Caenorhabditis elegans: one gene and its partners. The main gene of each other region encodes a partner of the protein of the gene in region 4 in a complex. Each region holds a gene or a part of one and is shown on either strand. Other genes may lie near its edges. The genes, in order: dpy-22, cdk-8, let-49 and mdt-1.2.

Region 1 (4,704 bases), 7.3 Mb from region 4:
TGTTCTCCATCCTGCGTGGCTAGTTTTCTCTTTCCATTTTTTGTCTGACACCATTTTCTCTTTGATATGGGAAGCCAAAGTTGCAATTTTCATTTCCTTCTCTTTGCGGATTTTGATTTCAGCGAGTTCCTCGTCGGTATAAATTTTCTCGGGTTCGTTATCCGCCACATCTGTATCCTTGTTTTTGTCCCTTTCTTCTTCGCCATCTTTTTTCTTCTCACTTTCCGGAGTTTGTTCCTGATCAGGATCCACCACAGCTATAACAACACAGTCATCCTCGTCTGCTTTTTTGTTGGACTCAATGATCATAATATCATCTTCGTGTTCTTTCTCAGACTTATCAACTTCAGGCGCTTTGTCGACTTCCAGTGGTTCCTCGGTGGTAATTTCAGTGGATTCTTTTGGTTTTTCAGTGGCAGCTGGTGGATCTGATTCCATGGGAACTGTGTCATCTTTAGAAGTTTCATCGTTACTTGTTGAACTTGCATTTGGCTCCTTATCAATTTTGTCATTAGAATCGACAATGGAGGGAGCTTCGGATTTCTCTGCTGATGTAGACGTCTTTGCCGTTTTTGAACTGGTATCATCTTCATTTTCTTTGCCGGTAGGTTCTTCTTCAACTAATTTTTGTTTTTCAGAAGCATCGGTTTTATCATTTGCATCAGCCATTTCAGCATCGTCAGGATTTATCGGAACATCCAGATCATTCGTATGCTCATCAACAGATTTTTCTTTTTCCTTGTCTTTCTCCTTATCTTTGTTCTTCTCCTTAGTTTTAGATTCATCTTCTTTCTTTTCACATTCATTTTCTTTATCGACAGAAAGAGCTGGCGAAGCGCTGGGAGATGATTCAAAATCAATTTGTGGCTGCGTGTTGACAGTTTCCGTTGGTGTTGGATTGGAGAAATCCAGTACTTCATCTTTTGGTGGATCAATTCCAACTCCGCCCTGCTGAATCCAGAAAGGATACGTCATTGAACCATAGCGACCACTAATACGTTCAGGAGTGACAGATCTCTTGCCTATCTTCATGTACTTGAACTCCTCATCGTCAGTGAGTTTTTTTGGAATATCTGTGTGAAGTGGCTTGAAAGGTAAAGGCTCATATGATGGATCATATTGATGTGAGAAAGAGTCATAATCCATAGAATTGTCTGATTGTTGACCTCCATACTCATCATAGTCCATCGGTTCTTGTTTAATCTGTACTTTATCGTGATCAAGAGAAGCTTCATTCGAAGGATTCTGTGGCATTTTTTTTGGCCGATTTTTTGACAATCCTCTTCTTCTCCTCCTTTCAGACTTTTTGAGTGAGCCTGCCTTTCGTTTTTCATGCTGCTTGATAAGTTCTTCAGCTTGTGCTTCTGGTGTTTTGTCAGTCTCATCAAAGTAGGGTACATCAGGAATCTCGTCCAACATATCAATGAAGTCATCGTAATCTTCAAACTCGTAAATTTCGCCATCTTCATTTTCAAATCTGAATTTTTGATTTTTTGTAACTCTCATAAATTTAAGTCTTACTCTTTCTTAATGAAAGTTTTATTAGCAGAATCGTAGTACGCATCAATTTTCCTTTTATCCTGTGCCATTTCGAATAGAAAACCAAGTGCTTGGCAAAGCAGAGTGGAGGACCGTCTAGCTAACACCAGACTGGAGCTGAGATCTTCGACAAAATACACATAATATTTCATGAATGTGCTGAAATGTTATTAATACAATATCAGTTCATGGGTTATCTAATTTGGAAAAGTTTGCAGTGCTTACCTTAAAACTGAAGGGTTCTTAAAGTTTTTCTGCAAAAACAACTGATTGAAAACTTCCGTGAGATCGTTGAGAAACTCCTGTTTATCAAGGACACCATCCTATAACAAAACTAATAAAATTTCTGTTAAAAATAAAACTCTTACATCAAACATATACTTCATGAATCCAGTCAAATAATTCCATGTTTTAGTAGCCTCTCTTCGTTTTATGGGATTTCGAAAAGATTTGTAAAGCTGGGTTACGAGCCAAATTGTTGTTTTGTTGCATGCTTGGCTCAGTTCTAGAGTTGCAACGTCAAGTAATGTTTTCTTTTGTGTCTTGCTTGAAGAGTTGAAACCAAGGATACAAAGAAGTTTCACACACCATATTGCCCGATCGTAGCTTATGCTGAAATAGGCAACTTTAGAACATTCTTCAGTTAGCACAGTATAATTCACATTTGTTTTAATTGTGAATTTTAAAAACAACTCACTTATAATCGCTAAACTCCAAAAAGAGCAGTTCTTTCCTTCTAAATCCAGGGATTCTTTGTGAAAGTTGTTGAAGAGGAGTTCCTCTAGCTAATGCCGAAAAGAATTTCACTCGATCTGACAAAATTCGTTTCCAGTTATGTGGTGCAAAACACGGAAGTTGTTCCTTTGGAATTTTACGTTCTCTGTCATAATTCATGTGGAACTCTCCTTTTTTGTGAATAACCTGAAATTAACATATTTACTCACTTATATAATTGTTGAAAATGACTCACAGAAGCAATCATAGACTGAGATCGTTTTTGAGCTTTCTCCAGACGAATTAGCTTATTTTCCGATGCGTTGAAAACCAATGATTGAAGCTCGTATTGCGTTAATGGCATCTAAAATCAAAACTCGGGTTGTATAATTCATATCCTCACGTGTGCTTTCTCTGTTTCTTTTTACGCTCATCAAACATCTAGCCACACACCAAGCTAATCATCCCCTAGTACCTCCATAGTTACATTGCACTCTGTTTGAGCATCTTTTTCCTCGCCCTGGCACGACACTCACCTGATATCCTTTCTTTAATCGTTCCGTTGTCAACATATCCTCTTCTTGATTCTTGTTTTGTTTATACACATCAGCAGTTCCCATTCGAAGGTTGGTTTTCCGGAGCATACGTTCGCCGGGCTGCTCGTCAAACCACGAGGCGACGCCATCCTCGGGGTAGACGTCGTCCTCGTCGTCTACCACTGACGTCGATGGGTACGAAATGATTGCTAAAATTTTTTTATTTGCAATAACTTCCCAAATTTTGAAGATAATATGTTAAGAAAAAGAAAAAATACAATCAGGCGACGTTTTTAAGTGATAACAACATAAAAACTGACAGAAAAATGAAAGGAGGAACGAATAAGAATTTAAAGGAAAGTGGGTTCTATTTATTTAGAAAATATTGTGAAAAAAATAAGTATTAAAAAGTTTTTTTTTTGGAATATCATCATTCATGTCTAGTTCACTTTTCCAACTCTAAAATTGTGTTCAAAATCCAATATTCAAAATTTTGTGGGTTCCCAATTAGTTAAAAAAACACAATGTGAGCTTTTAAAAAAAGTGAAAAATTAAACTCAACATGTGGACAGAGATGTATTCATAAAGCACCTTTCATCGATTGTAAAGAAACACATCAACCCCAGTACGGATGATGACATTCAAAGATGGCTGTAAAAAAGACGCAGAGAAGCGAGGAAGAAACGCACAAACGGCGAGTAGCAGGCAGTTGGAAAGAAATAGAGAATTGGCCCCTGAGAACACAGAACACAGCAAGAAATACACTGATGGAAGAGAGAGACGCAGAGATGGAGAGTGCTGCACAGCAAGGCACACAGACCCATCGATCGGAACTGTCTCGCTATTTTCTCAAAATGGTCCACTCATAAGTCGTTTGTTTAATTGCAGGGAAAATTGTATTGTTGTAAGAAATGGTAAATACGTTAAAACTTCAACTTTCAGAACGATAAGAAAGTAGACTTTTTTGGGAGTTGTGAATGAGCTAATATTCCAAGATGGTGAACCCAAAAAAAAAAAAGGAAATCAAGTAGTATGCATATCACCTACAGATCAGCATGAACTGATAATATTTGTTATTTGAATATGTGCAATTTTAATAACTTTAATGCGCGTTGTTTCAGAATATGGTTTCGGATGTTCAGGCAGTTTACTGATATTATACAAAAAACCAGCGAAGTTTTTTTGAAACTAAGCTAAAAACGACCTTACGCGCAAAAAATTCCAACATCTGGGTATTGTCTGCAGTTAGAATCACATTCTCGCAAATTTAAATTTATGAGAAAGGACAAATGATGAGAGAAAATGTCATATGTCAGATAAAATTATATGAAAACGGAAGAAAAAAACTCTAAGTTTCTTCATTTCAGAATGTCATAGGGCAAATCCCCCGATTGATGTTTCAATGTAATGCATATTTGAATATATATTTTAATTTTTTTTACAACTCCACAATATCGTTTTGAACTTTGAACAAAATATTGAAAATAAAAATTAGAATTGATTGAAATTGTTATAATTCTTCAAATCAGGATCGCGGAAAATTTTCAAAACGAAATAAATCACTAAAAAGTGTTTATTTAAATTCAGTAAATTCTAGTAATTAGGTCTTGTATTCCGCGTTTCTTTTATAATTTCAAAAATACAATTCAGCGATGTTATCACGCATCACAATTGTTTGAAAATTGTGTGTTTGTATATAAATAATTTATAATCAAAAACACGAAACAAAATAAAAATGATCAGGAATTGCTTGAAGACAATTGAGAAGTAGAAGAAAAATATGAGGAAATGAAAAAATGGAACACTGGTTCTTTAAAAATTTAAGACGATAAAGAAATAAAGTTGAAAAAGTAGTCAACAATACAATGAACAAAAATATCATGAAAGAGGTGGAAATTCAATTATGCAGAGAACA
Region 2 (5,634 bases), on a different chromosome or scaffold from region 4:
TGGATCCAAAGATGGTGGAATAAGAGCTGAACAATACTGTGATGGATGGAGAAGAGCCGATTGTAATTTTTGAGAAATTGAAGACAATTTTTAGAATATAATTTATTGCAGCATCTCTGACTTCTTTGGCAGGTCACATCTCATCGAATACAAGCATTTTCCAATCAAGTGGATCCGAAAAATGTGAAAATAAATTAGTGGTATTGTGTGTTGAGGTTCGTTTTTTATTTAAATTGAAGTGTTCAAACGATCGTTGTGAGACCATCAGAGAAAAAGAAATATTATTTCCAAACAGCTTTAAAATCTTAAAATTAAAATGTTTGCAGAACATGTCCAAGTATCACGGTGACCGAATTCTCCGCTTGCATCGAATCACATCCGACTTCAAAAAATGAACGACTTCCAATATAGAATTTCAATTTTAAAATTGTTTTAAATGATTATACCCCAACCTTACGATGAAAAAATCTCGAACCCCCCCTGAAAAACGGCTTCATTCACTCATTTTGCTTTGTTTTCTATTTTGAATTAAACCAAAAAAATCTTTCCGAATTTGATTTTGATAACTGCCACGTATTTTCTCAATTTTATTGTGAACGTATTTCAAAAAAATACAATTTACAAAGCCTTCAAATTACACATGACGAGCAATATTAGTTTGATGTGAGTACTATAGATACATACATGTTACAAATGAAATGTTTATCGATGATATTGTTGTTGCCATTGCTGTTGTTGCTGTTGATTTGGACCGGGTTGCTGTTGTCCCATTTGAGGGGGAGCCATTCCACGACCAGGCATATATCCTTGTGGTGGAACTCCTGGAGCACGCATGCCCATTTGCATTCCCATTTGTGGATTCATATATCCTTGAGGTCCTGGTCCAGGAACTGCTCCTGTTGGTTGTCCTGGTCGTTGTGGATAGTAGCCGGATGGTCCCGGTTGTTGCATCATTTGCACCATTGGTGGACCTTGTTGCGGGTGATAGTCTTGTGGAGCACCGTATGGAGGAGGCATCGGTGCATACTGCAATTGTAGAATTGAACATAAGAATTTGAAAAGTGGAGTATTGCCATAGGGAAAAATGATGAAAATCACTCCTATGATCTTAAAATGACCCAATATCCTAGTAACGCTTTTCAACAATTTTTCAAAATAGTTTTACCTACAGTAAAAAGTGAAAATTACTTCATCTACCATGATTTGGAAATAAACCAAAAATTATCAAAATTAGTTTCTATCTACTATTTTGCAACGATTAACGAATATTTCAAGAAATTTCAATTTTTGAAAGTTTGGCAATTTACCAACAAAAAAATTATAAATCATTTTACAAAAATTTGCAAATTCAACAATCAATCTATCAAAATTTGCGAAATTTGGAAATTTACAAAAACTTTGAAAATTTGAAATCCTTAATTATGATATTCAGCCATGTTATGTTTTTTATTATTATTTTCTAATTAAAAAGCTTACTCTTCCAACAGGAACATTTCCCATTCTCATCATTTTTGCTTGTGGTCCTTCATCCATTCCACCTTGCATTGGATCATGCATTCCTTGATATTGCATCTGAACAGAAAAAGTTAACTTTTCATTCTGAATATTTAGAAAACTGACATGATGCTGTTGTGGATGCTGTTGTTGCTGCATCATTTGATGTGGATGTCCATCTGGAGCAACAACTCCGGGATGTGCTCCACCCATTGGTGGTTGTCCCATCTGAGGTTGTACCATTTGAGGTTGTCCCATCATTTGTTGCTGTCCCATTTGTGGTTGTTGTTGCATTTGAACTTGTTGTTGTTGATGCTGTTGTTGTGCTTGATCTGGTGCAACCTGTAAAAGAATCTTGGGAACATTTGCAGTGTATTCAACAATTGATGCCCTTACCGTCATCTGCTGTTCCTTCTTCGCGTATGGAATTGGATATTTATTGAACACGTCGTCAGTCTCCCTTGGTGGTCTTTCCATTTTCTGCAAATGGTTTTTTCAAATATTATTCAAATTAAATTTCAAACGAACTCTAAAATAAATATCATTCATCGCTTCTTCACAACTGACACGTTTTGTAGGGTCAACTGTGAGCAATTTGACAAGTAATCTATATGGAGAGCTTTGTGAATTGATTTTCCATTTATCAAAGTATCGATGCAAGCTGTTTGGAAATGTTTGAATTGGTGTTCTGAAAATTGTTTATTTATAATTATGTAAAACTTTTTTAAAGCCGTTATATATTGCAATACAAATTCACACATCCGAAATTCTCTCAAATTCGGAAATGCCACAAAAAATGGAAAAAATCGCAAGAATGAAAAACCAACTTTTGAAATCGCGATTTTCAATTGTTTGAATTGCCACCTAAATGAGAACTGCGACCAATCAGCGACTCGTTTTTTAATCTTGGATTTTTAATTCTTTCGCGATTTTTTTTTCCTTTTTTTGTGGTATTTCCTAATTTGAGACTAATTCGGTTTCATTGAAGCCATTCACGCTACTGAAAAAAATAATGTGCCTTTAAGTAATCTATCAAAATAAATTTGAAAACTTTTATATTATAATTTACCCTTCATTTCTAGCATCGCTTAGAAGTCTTTGATGATCCGGCATTTTCTTCATATCAGGCCAATCAGCATCTGATGGGTATCCGAGTAGATGGAATATTCTTTAAAAATTTCGAATAGTTAATGATTTTAATTTCCAAAAAATCTGTACCTTTTCACTTGATCATAGTGATATGGATTTTGTGCCTTGATGTCTTCCTCTTTACAGAAAAATAATGGTTCAGCGGTAAGAAGTTCGGCAAAAATGCATCCGATAGCCCATACGTCAATAGCCTGAGATTATGCATTTTTTCCTTATTAAATAGATTTTTCAACGTACCTTTGTATAATGCTTTGCTCCGAGAAGCAATTCAGGTGCTCTGTACCAGAATGTGACAACTACTGGATCTAATTCAGCCATCGGTTTCAGAGGATTTGCATAGATTCTTGAAAATCCCAAATCAGCAATTTTTACCCTAGAATTATTATTTCATATTATCGCATAAATTTCAAATTCAGTCAAACCTTCCTCTCATGTCAGGTGGTCCATCACCCATTAATAGAATATTTGCTGGTTTGAGATCTCGATGTAGTACCCAGTTTGAATGTAAATAATGCATTCCTGAATATTTTAAAATACAGTTGAGTGAAATTGGATTTTAGAATTTCAAACCTGATAAAATTTGAAACAATATATTTTTGACCATATTCCGTGGCACCATAATTGGGACTTTCTTGCTTTTAGCTGTTCGATGATGTTTGATAACGTGCCAGAGATCGTGTTCAGCATAATCCAATAAAAGCCAGACTTTTTTTTCGTTGGTAAGAAATACACGTTGAAGACAGATTAAATTCGGATGCCTGAAACATTTTTTTTTTTTGAATATCTACTTCAGTTTTTTTTTCGAATTTTAGATTATAAAAAGGGGAAAATCTCGAATTCAATCTTCATTTTAAATTAATATTATTTAATCGGTGAAATTACCTTAATTCTCTGAATAGAGCAATTTCTCTGCATGCAGACATTGAAAATCCTTGTCCCTCAATCATTTTTAATGCGTATTCTTTGTTAGGAAATTGTCCATTTTGCTTTTTCGGAACTGCTTTATAAACTAATCCATATGTTCCTCTGCCGATTTCTTTTGAATTTTCAAAGTAGAAAAGGTCTTCTACTCTCTCTCGACGCTGTGCCAATTGTTTTTTGAAGTTTTCATCAATCATTAATCTGCAATAGGGATTTTCTGATTTATTTATAGTGCAAATTTCCAACTTACGTCATTTTTCAGTTACTACAGCGAATACTACTCAGTCTTTATGCCAGGAAAATCGATGTCCAGAAAAACGAAAATTAAAATTGAAGTGTACGGTAAGGAAGTCCGCAAACACTGCACCCACGTACTAAACACCAAATATCACGACATCTTCGTCGGTCTTCGTTTTCTAGCACTTTTTCTTGTGGCAAATTCTCGCCGAACGTCACTTCTTCTTCCCAAAGAACACAGCGTTAAGACTGAAAAATCAATAAATTAACTAATCAATAAATGCCACATGTCTAACAGACAAATAACTAGGAGGAATGCACATTCAGAGAGGATACTCTGGTTTGGCAGCGAATAACGCTTTCAATCGATCCTGTAACCGCGTTTGCCTCAAATCAGTTTAGAATGAACAAACCGAATATTGTATTTTGGATATTATTTTGTCTGAATTTAAAATAAACTGGTCGTCGGAAATAAATATTTCTTAACTTTTCCAGAATTTTCTAACATAAATCAAAAAATTCTTATGTTCTCACGAAGTCTCGCTCTCTCGTTGTTGCAGATTTTAGCATTTGTCGAGTTTTCAAAAGATAACAACTCAAATTTACAGGCCGATCAGTTCAAATGCAAATGGGTGATCATCAAATGATGGGAAACCAGAGGTATGAGTTGAATTAAAAAATAGCTTGTTCAGTTTTAGTTATTTGGATCAAGAAATCCAATAACAACACTCGAAAGATATTACAGAACTTACGTTCAAAAAGTGATGCCTGCACAAGCTGGTGGTGCAGTATCACAAAATGCCACGTATGTGCAAACGGCAGGAATTCGAACGGTTCATCACGACGGAAACGGACAGCAGAGGGTGAGATTTTGAAGAATATAATCAAATTTTGTTCGAGACAAGACATATGCTTGAATTTATGAATTAAAGTTTATTTCAGATAGTTCAACTACCCCCGGGAGTACGTCAGATTCAGCAAAATGGTGTCGGTCCTGCCTATGTTCGCCAAGTTCCTGGTGGTCAACCAATGCAAGTAAACTTTGGACATCCAGTAAGTCTTTATTATCAGTTTCTCAATCAACATAACAAATTCTAAGAATTGAAACAAAATTTCAAATTCACGAAACTATTTTAATTTTTCAAAAGAAATTGCAGGGAACGATAGCGGGTCGAAATGTTGCAGTTGGTGTTCAAATGCGACCTGTGCAAGGACATAACGTTCAACAAGGTTATCAGAGTAAGTTTTTAATTTTATTTAGAAAATTGATAGTCAATATTTAATTGATGTTATTCAAAACAAAATATTTTTTTTTTTAAATCGGTTTTATTTCAATTTATTTACGGTCTCCGGATGCCGTGTGTTTTATCAATAGAATACAAGTACTACGTATATCTAGAATCGCGTATATGTTTCTGCAATAATTAATTGTTTTATTGGAATAATATTCTAGACACAAATTAACTCTACATTTACATTTCGAATAACTCGATTTCTGATTTTTGAACGATTGAAGTTTCACATATTTTCCAAAAGGAAAAATTAAATATTGATTAAATTTTCACTGTTTTTGCAAACAAAAAAAAATCGAAAACAATCAAAATAATTCTGGAAAATTTCAAACTCGTGTGTTGGGTCTCACATTACGTGTTGTATAAGACATTCTTGTTTGAAAAACTGAAAAGAGTTTTAAATTTAATTCCAGGACAGCAAGTAGCAAATCAAATTCAACAACAAAATCGAGCTGTATTTATGGCACAAAATCAGCAAGGACAACAACAGATAAGCTATGCGCAAGCACAACATCGACAACAACAACAGGTATGTTTCATG
Region 3 (3,335 bases), on a different chromosome or scaffold from region 4:
AAAACTGAAAAAATCGATCGTACTTCAAATCGTTACTTGTTGATGTATTATCCACTAAAAGCCCTTCTGGAGCCTCACTTTTCAGTTGAGCCAGCTCTTTCATCAGTCGTCTTGTCGCAGCATCTGACATTCCTGATGAGTGGAGGCGTCTGAAATTAGGGGTATTATGTGTTGATTCACGCAGAATTCGTATACTTCTCGAGGAGAAGAGAATTTTACAGTTTTTTTGGCTTAAATTATTGATTTTTAATCAATAATTTCTGCTCATAATTTCCAATTATAGAAAGAATAAAATCGAAAAAGCTACGTACGACTTTGCGCTTTTAATTGGCGTTTTCCTCTAAAATAAAAAAACCGAAAATTTTAGTTTTCTCATTTTCAGGTTTTTAATTTTTTGAAGAAAAAACACTGTTTTTCGAAATGAAACGTATTCCCTGAAGATAATTGTTTATGTCACACGAAAGCTGCCTAAAAAGTATAAAAAATAATTCGAAATAAAGAATGCGAATTGACGCATTTTCAACAGAACAAAGATGAAAAAACGATTGAAAAAAGTTATTTTTAAACGAAATTTTAATTACAGCATTTCAGAAGATCATCAGAGTCAAAATCATAGTTCGAAAACCCGGTAAAATAAATTAAAATGAAATTATTTAATTATTTCTTCAGTGAGATATCATGAAACTGTCTTGCTAACAAGTGTACAACACTCGGTGGTCCATCTTCTCTTGATAATAGTTCCAGCCTCGCTTTCTTTTTACTATATTCCGATCCTTCTTCCTCTTTCATTTCCACGTCATCTGAAGCTTCTGTCTCCTGAAGCATATGAAGCACTCCGTCTTGCAGTTTGACACGTGTCAGTTCCGAAGGTTGAGGTGGAGCTGGAAGCTTCCCACGGATCATTTGGAATTGGTCATCGACAACTTCTCGACCATCACGCAGATATTTTCTGGAAAAAAGGAGAAAAAATATACAAATTTAAAACTTAATTCCGATTTGACTAACTTAAAATCCTTGCAAATATCCGATAATTCTTCGATTTGTCTCTCTTGTAAAATTCGAACACTGTCGCGAGCCTGAAAAACATAGAAAAATATAGATTTTATTTCATTTTTAAAACACTTTTCTACCTGAACTGGCCGGAATTCATTGATCAAATGATGCATATTAATGAATATCGTGTGTAAATCGACCATTTTCTCCTCTCTCATTGGGTGATCGGGAGCGCGAATCAGAATTTCGACCAAATCGAAAAATGCGACTATGGCGGACCTGTTCAACTTCTTCATCTCGGTTTTCCAATTATTTTTGTTCTTGTAGAGCTCAGCAACACCGGCGTTTTTCAGAGGGCTGTAAATGAATGTTTTATTCTAGTTTTTCCCGCGTATTGAAAAAGGTTTTTGCAAAATAGGTGGGAAAATTCGGCTAGACTCAGCATGTTTTTGGTTTTTATATAGCCGCTAAAATTTCTTACGCGATGACATCATCTTCCAATCGATATTCCTCTCCGTACACCTTGAATTCCGTAAGTGGATGCGGCGGAGGTGGTGCCGAACCTGAATCTTGTTAAAGTGATGTATGAGAAATCTGTTAGAGAAATTGCGTTTTATTTCTAACAAAAAAAAATACTGTTTGCTGAATTAAAAACTGCTAGTTTCAAAATTTCAAAATTCAAACTCCTTACCATTATTGATTCGATCACTTGTATACGCCGATGCGTACTCTGGAGGATTTGGGAACGGGCTGACTGTTTGTGCACCAAAACCAGGAAGCATTTTAAATGAAAACTGAAAAAAATGAGTTGAAAACGATGAAAACAGAGCTGAAAAGGAAGGGAAGTATAATAATAAAAGAAAGAAAAATGAAAAACGTGAGAGTACGGAGGAGCGCAGTTGCATTATTTTTGAAAATTTGTTTTTTTTTCTTTTTTCTTTTTTCTATTTATTTTTGTTCTTAAACGAATTGTTTTCAGTTCAATGGACGAATTAGAAGATAATCCATGTCTTCTCGACCACCTTATTCAATCAAAAATAGCTGAAAAACATCTGCTAAGCGGGAAAATCATCACATGTGCAAAATTTGATGAAAAATACTCAAAATGTGCTGAAAACCAAATAATTGAGGAGTTTCCTGAGCATATCATTGGCTGCAAGTTGTTCAAAAAAGAAAAGGTAAAAGGTTACTCTCAAAATCGCCGACTTCAAACAACTTTCCAATTTTTCAGAAAATAATCACCGTAACATCGAGGAATTCGCTCACAATTCGCATATCTTCAAATCTGAGCGTTTTATCGAAAATTCAATGCGATTACTTTGCCACATCGTGCGTAAATTAGTAAAATAATACTGGAACAATTTCCTAATTTTCCAGAATTTGCTCTCTAATCATCGGAAATAGTGCAGAATCTTGTCACGTGTATTTTGGAAGTGTTATCGGAGAATTAATTGATTGGAAGCCACACGAAGACGAGAAGCCAATTATGAGAAAAGGACATAAAGTTCGATTTTTGACTTGGAAATAGCTTTGTTGTTGGCCGAAAAAAGAATTATACTATTCCAATTTTTAGGGAATGATCTTTTCAATTGTAACGGATTCCACACGTATTTTCACAATTTCTGATGATCGAACAATTCGAATGTGGCCAATTGATGACAGAGAAAGTGGTCCGCTTTGGTTGGTTTTCTAATACTTATTTTTAACTTTAAATTTATCGATTTCAACTAAAACAATTCAAAAAAAAATCTTCTTCACGAGGAGTACATGAGAACTGCTGCGTAAATCGACACAATTCTCCATTTTTAGCACAGTATTCGGTCATACAGCCCGTCCATTCGCCATTTGCGTGGATCCAATCAATTATAGAATCTACACGGGCGGTATCGAACAAACACTGTTCTGCTGGAAATATGATGAACGTTCGATTGATTTGCGGCAAAAGATTGCAATTCCAATTGGTGTTATTCAGAAAATCAGTAAAATAGACGATAGTACACTGGCGATCAGCTCTCAAAATGGAGATCTTTTGGAAATTCACGTGGAACAGCAATCATTGAAATCGAAAATTGTAATTTTGAAAGATGATTTGATGAATTTTGCGAATTTAAATGGGAAATTAGTGATTTTAACGGCAGATAAGTGAGTTTTTTTTTGACTAAAATTACTTTAAAAAACCTCCAAACACGAAATTTAATATTGGACTTTATTTTTTGGAAAATCCAAAAAATGCATAATGAGATACTATTTAATTCCAAGTTTGCATTTTTATACCATTTTGCACAAATTCTTCAGAAAGCCTAAATTCCTGTGAAGGCCTAAAATTATTCAATGGTCTAAAA
Region 4 (5,322 bases):
AATGCTATCACCGTTTCTTTCCACAACAGTCTCCTGTCAAATTTGTAACATATACGTAATTATGGATATAGTTTCTGTCAATAATGAATTTGTCAAAAAATCAATTTTTTGGGTTTTCATGCTTAAACAGAGTTTGTAAATTATATTAATCCCAAATTACAAAATTATGCAATCGGATTTCTCAAAAATGTTTTAAAACTTTTTAAGAAAGGTCAAAATTTCAATGATCATTAAATGAACATTGATTTCCGGCCATGTGCCACATACAAACATAAATATTGAAGATTTTAGCTGAATTGAACAGTTTTTTTTTGAAATTTTGAACTGCAATGTAAAATATTTTAAAAACTTTGAAAAGTCTCATTATGAAATTTAGTTGTTTGGGTAAACTTTCGAGGTCTTTGGGCAACTAGAGCTACTTTTATATATTTTCAGCAAGCTTACAATTGACATAATTAAAGAAAATATTGCCCAGTTTGACTATTAAAGATATTTTTGACCCTAAGTAATCAACTTTCAGTATTCATGCAAAAAACCTCTAATCATTTTTTTCTGCTTTTCAGCTCTTTGAAAAATTCAGATGGCAAATTTTAAATAATACAAATGCATATAAAACTTAATTTCAAACATTCACAACAATCAAAATGAGTATCAAATAAGGCTCAAGTATATAATAAAACAAAAACTATACAAACACATCATAAGTCAAAAATCCGTTAGAAGGAACGTCCAGCCGCATAAGTTGGAATTGGGCCCACAGTCTCCGGGTTTTCACTTCTCAACGGAACTTTGATCTTTGCCAAGTTGCAGTCACTACCCGACACGGCGTAGGTAAGCATATTTGGAATGCTCCAAGTTCTGAAATTTTCAAATGTTTTCTCTAGGATGTTCTATGGACAAAGAGTTGGCACCAAAACTGCTATTGACATTCTCAGGAACTTTGCAACAAGTCCTGCGTTTGCGTTAGTGTACGGTTTCAACTTACTCATTGAGTTTTCTGCTCAATGTTTCATCAATCTTTTCAGCAATCTGGAGGCCTGTCTGTGCATGCACAACATTCACCTTTGCCTCACAAACTCCACTATCCTGGATTACAACTGCAAATTTACTTAATATTAAACACTTTATCTATCTAGAACTCACCTTTGACCGGCGCAAATTTTGTATCAAAGGTGATTACAATTTGCTCTCTTGTCAGAAAAACGTCCATCTTGATTGCGGCAACCGTGTGCTTTTTCATACCCTGCTTCTCATAACACGCGGATATCATCGACTCCCAAAGGCTGATATGCATGGCTTCGTTGCGAAGAATTGCAATTATCTGCAATTATAATTTATTTTTATCGAGTAGTGGAATATCTGACTACATATGTTAATGATGTCTTAAATAATATTTCTACTTCTAGTATTTGAACGGACTCACAAAGTTCAATAATTCCCTGTGGCAAAAAACCGAAAGTTGCAAAATGTGTGTCCATATTATGTAAAGCATGCATTAGCATGTATGCTTATTTTCTCAAAACAAAAAAGATACTCAAATGTTTATGTTTTTGCTAATTGAATCATGAAACTGGCGCTTTTAAAATACAATCTATGTTACTACTGCTTACCTCATGAAAATCTTGCAAATGCTTCAAATAAATCTCAGTGATCACAGAGTCACCATCATTGCGCAACTGGTTCACATCGACATTGTAGAAGTGTTGAGTTTGTCCATCGCCAAACTGTGTAATCATCTGCAGGTTGTTCTCAATCTTCACCGCTCCAGTCACGTAGCGATAGCTATTTGTGAAATGCTTAACGGATGGAGTCTTTGCACTGATTGCTCCCAACTTCTTTCTAGTCGTTTCAGTAAGATTGAACCCTCTGGATAGCTTCATACAAATCACAGCGTTTGCTTCAATAGATTCTGCCCAGCCTCTGGAAATTTACAATTTTCAATAATATTAAGATGTGAATGAACTCACTTTGTGTCAAACTCTGGAAGTGTACACGGGCTATCATGCTTGGCAAACGAAAATTCAAAGTATGGCAAAACTTCGTGATCATCCTTTTGTAACTGGAAAATATGATCCTTGGAGCGAATGTTCCGAAAGTGTGGTTCCGCCAAATAATATACACGCCCTGCGCGGAGATCATTACGTGGAAGGTAGAAACTAAAATTAAAATTTTTCATTAAAAAAATAATTATAAAGTTACCCATAGTTGGATCTGTGAATTGAAGTGTAGGAAGGGTCTTGAGAGAAGTGTCCAAAAAGCATCTCGAGCATTCTCATAGCTCCCATGCAGTTTCTACGATCGTCTCTGAAAAATGGGAGTGAGTTCTAGAAGCATTATTTTTTGCTTTGCTCAAAGTCAAACAACATACCTGCTCAACAACTTATCATACGTCAACAGCATATCTGAGATTCGGTTTCGAAGCTCTGTCCACATCCCTAACTGGAGCATTCTTGTAGCTTCTGGGGAGTAGAATGAAGGCTCTTCCCAAAAACTAAGCACAACGGTTGTCACTTCACCATCGTTGACAGTAAAGTCCATGATGAGATCTTCTTGACGATTGATGGACCATCCGCGAGAAGTTTGTTTGTGCAAGCATCTGGAAATAAAAGTGAGCTATGTATTTTAATAAATTTTGAGCGATTAGAAGTTATGGCTAGGCAAATTTCAAGTGGATAACGTTGGAATATGTATAAGTTTTGTCGGACTCCAACGTACCAGGTTTCTAATTTTTTTAAAAGGAAACTAGTCTATCGAGAAACAAATGTTGTGCAGTACTTTCATTTATTTGTGAAATGTAATAATGTGTAAAGATTTCAGAGAAATTGAGTAGGTGCTCACTTTCTTAATTTTGTATATTTAGTACGCGATTATTTTCTAGCAATTGGCAGTCGGTAAACTCTTCTAGTTTTTGACAGGTTTGCGTCTCAATCTTGGATACAAGTACAATATTTTTATTACAAACTAGGGTCCGATGTGGAACTGATTTTGGTTCTTCAAGAAAACATGAAACTTGACAGTGTTTCAGAAAATTTGAAGTATATGTGGGTCTACTCCTTTTTGATTTTTTTCTTTCTTGAAGCAACAGGTGCTACGAAAAATAGATTTCCAAGTTATTAATGCTCAATCGGCAAATGAATTCTACCTTAAGAGCACTCAAAAATTATACATTTTGATGCATGTGAAAAATAGGTGCAAGGAAATGCTCTATCATTTTTAGCAGTTAAATTCTAGGTTCCAAAAAAGCCAGGTTTTTATGGCAGTTTTCTAAATTTAACGCCATTTCTCTAACTGAAAACTTACCCAAGACTCTCAGCCATAACCCGTATCTTCTCCTCCATCAGATTGTTTTCCTCGATTGGCATTTTTGTTTTCATGTACGCAATCCCGTTGAGCACGTCAATTCTACCATCAGCATCGATTGTGTTACGTTTTTCCTGCAATTCATGCATTTTTCAAATTGTCTTTCACAATAAATAAGTTTAAAGAAAATAGTTACCAACAAGTTTCGCCTCACAGCCTGCCCGAATGATGTCCATTCCATTTTTGATGCGGCTTGCCGGACCTGTTCCAATCTCATTTCCTCGTCAATATGCTCAATGTTGAGCTCTTGATTCTTCCGCTGCTCCAACAGGTAAACTTTCGTTTTCGGTGATGGAGTGGAAACCATTCTAAAATCGAAATTTAATCGAGTTGAATACAAATTTACAAATAAGAGAGGAAAGTTAACAATAAAAAATAAATATAAACAAAAAGAAATAAAAAATAAGATGTCGTCTTCAAAGGGAAGTCCGCAAAATGCCGTGATGGTGTTTGCACACTGTCTGCACACTCCTTGGATACCTTATCTCTAGCTAATGCGTGTTTGAGAGAGCGGGAGAGGAACATGGGCAATGGAGGGGAGAAGGACACAGCCAAGACATTAGAAAAGTGGTGTCATAGAACATGGAAACGATGATGAACAATTACAATTGCTAATGGAAAAAAATAAGTATGGGAATTTCGAGAAGAAGAAGAACTTGTCAAAAAAAATTTTTTTTTGCTTTTCCATGCCAGTGTTTTTCTATATTTTCAGTTCAATCCTAGGGCGAATGACAATATTTTTTAGGACCTAATGTGAATCTGGACAAGTATTTGCGGTATAGTTTTTGTTTTTATTGGGGCTTGAAAATCGTTACTAAATTGTGAAAACATCTTGATGGAAACACTCCCAATGATAGCCCATTTTGAATATGACTAAGATATTTTGCCGAGAATACTTTTGAAAATAATTTTTTCATTACAAAAAAAGTAGTTTAAAAGTGTGTTGAAAACGGTTTTGCATTTTAAAAATCACTAAATGATACTGCCACTTAAAAAAATGATTTTACACACATTTATCTTCTTTTTGTATAATACATACATATTCTTAAACAAAATTTGATAAGTTTACAAACGGTCGTACTTTTGTCATTCTACACCCTTAAATTTTTAAAATTTTTCTTCAAATAAAAAATTTATACCGTGAGATTATGCATTATTTTTACTAGGTATTTTTCAATCATCAAAGACTCCTGGCAGTTTTTTAAACTTAATTTCAAGTTGCTTAATATCAAATTTTCCCCGTTTTTTTAAGTTTCATCTAATTTATAAACAAGCTTTATATATTTTCACAACATGCCATGTTTCGGTGGGATTCCCAATGCAATCTCACAACGTTATGAACATTTTTGCTGAAAATTTCAAAAATTTCGAGAATTTTTCCACAAATCGTTCACAATTCAACAAAAAATCTGCTGATCTAAAATTTTCCCAAAACGAATATAGCATGTATCACAAATCTTTCAATGTTCTTTCATCTCTTTGTTGAACCATCTGACGAACAGGTGCTCGAACACTGTTGCGCTTTTTTCGCCTCAACAGATGTTGGACCTTCGAGGAATTGCACAACGGTGCTCTGTGTTCTCCCTCAATTTTCTGGTGGTGTAGCCGTTGTGTGCATTGACTGCGCAGCCAGACCCACCAGTTTCCTCGTCGTCGTCGTCTCTGTTTCAAGTCCAATTTATAGGGCGGGCAGGCGGCTGTGCTGCTGGTTTCGTTGTCTCGCCGTCTTCCATTCTTCGTCTCGACTGGTTGGTATTAGGTCGAATGTTTTTTTTTTTGGATTTTACAAGTTCTCTCTCATCCAATTCTTTCTTCACTCTCATATTTCAATTGGCCACTTCATTTTCGATGTTTGCACACTTGAGCGAACTTGTTTTCGAATTTATAATCTGTAAATTTTAAAGCTAACAAAATGTCGCTGAGCAGTCAACAGCCTGCAGAAAACCAACCATTCGACTTCAA

The links.
Region 1: mdt-1.2 (region 4) and dpy-22 share a complex: the UniProt entries of both Caenorhabditis elegans proteins name them as parts of the mediator complex.
Region 2: mdt-1.2 (region 4) and cdk-8 share a complex: the UniProt entries of both Caenorhabditis elegans proteins name them as parts of the mediator complex.
Region 3: mdt-1.2 (region 4) and let-49 share a complex: the UniProt entries of both Caenorhabditis elegans proteins name them as parts of the mediator complex.

Annotation. Positions count from the first base shown.
Region 1 is NC_003284.9:9,819,274-9,823,977, forward strand, and holds the start of dpy-22 (Mediator of RNA polymerase II transcription subunit 12), read right to left. Parts: upstream 3,001-4,704; 5' UTR 2,898-3,000; coding exon 2,790-2,897; intron 2,618-2,789; coding exon 2,510-2,617; intron 2,461-2,509; coding exon 2,237-2,460; intron 2,152-2,236; coding exon 1,908-2,151; intron 1,863-1,907; coding exon 1,765-1,862; intron 1,699-1,764; coding exon 1,522-1,698; intron 1,478-1,521; coding exon 1-1,477. Other genes in the region: GTPase-activating protein rrc-1, read right to left, coding at 4,691-4,704. UniProt on the Caenorhabditis elegans protein: Component of the Mediator complex, a coactivator involved in regulated gene transcription of nearly all RNA polymerase II-dependent genes.
Region 2 is NC_003279.8:8,700,747-8,706,380, reverse strand, and holds cdk-8 (Cyclin-dependent kinase 8), read right to left. Parts: upstream 3,916-5,634; 5' UTR 3,820-3,915; coding exon 3,815-3,819; intron 3,766-3,814; coding exon 3,526-3,765; intron 3,402-3,525; coding exon 3,214-3,401; intron 3,163-3,213; coding exon 3,066-3,162; intron 3,017-3,065; coding exon 2,881-3,016; intron 2,835-2,880; coding exon 2,713-2,834; intron 2,663-2,712; coding exon 2,564-2,662; intron 2,183-2,563; coding exon 2,023-2,182; intron 1,975-2,022; coding exon 1,891-1,974; intron 1,837-1,890; coding exon 1,621-1,836; intron 1,573-1,620; coding exon 1,477-1,572; intron 1,027-1,476; coding exon 703-1,026; 3' UTR 556-702; downstream 1-555. Other genes in the region: cle-1 (Fibronectin type-III domain-containing protein), read left to right, coding at 1-62, 112-215, 327-395; tlf-1 (TATA box-binding protein-like 1), read left to right, coding at 4,424-4,461, 4,538-4,664, 4,744-4,854, 4,959-5,040, 5,507-5,622. UniProt on the Caenorhabditis elegans protein: Component of the Mediator complex, a coactivator involved in regulated gene transcription of nearly all RNA polymerase II-dependent genes.
Region 3 is NC_003279.8:14,818,864-14,822,198, reverse strand, and holds let-49 (Mediator of RNA polymerase II transcription subunit 7), read right to left. Parts: upstream 1,788-3,335; 5' UTR 1,776-1,787; coding exon 1,685-1,775; intron 1,563-1,684; coding exon 1,475-1,562; intron 1,351-1,474; coding exon 1,131-1,350; intron 1,077-1,130; coding exon 1,006-1,076; intron 950-1,005; coding exon 658-949; 3' UTR 548-657; downstream 1-547. Other genes in the region: ubc-16 (Ubiquitin-conjugating enzyme E2 W), read right to left, coding at 24-130; Y54E5B.2 (WD_REPEATS_REGION domain-containing protein), read left to right, coding at 1,977-2,171, 2,225-2,322, 2,371-2,497, 2,567-2,673, 2,803-3,135. UniProt on the Caenorhabditis elegans protein: Component of the Mediator complex, a coactivator involved in the regulated transcription of nearly all RNA polymerase II-dependent genes.
Region 4 is NC_003284.9:17,149,868-17,155,189, reverse strand, and holds mdt-1.2 (Mediator of RNA polymerase II transcription subunit 1.2), read right to left. Parts: upstream 3,669-5,322; 5' UTR 3,668-3,668; coding exon 3,497-3,667; intron 3,435-3,496; coding exon 3,301-3,434; intron 2,597-3,300; coding exon 2,369-2,596; intron 2,305-2,368; coding exon 2,200-2,304; intron 2,157-2,199; coding exon 1,968-2,156; intron 1,921-1,967; coding exon 1,611-1,920; intron 1,322-1,610; coding exon 1,144-1,321; intron 1,098-1,143; coding exon 986-1,097; intron 859-985; coding exon 717-858; 3' UTR 543-716; downstream 1-542. Other genes in the region: T23C6.4 (Caprin-1_dimer domain-containing protein), read left to right, coding at 5,273-5,322. UniProt on the Caenorhabditis elegans protein: Component of the Mediator complex, a coactivator involved in the regulated transcription of nearly all RNA polymerase II-dependent genes.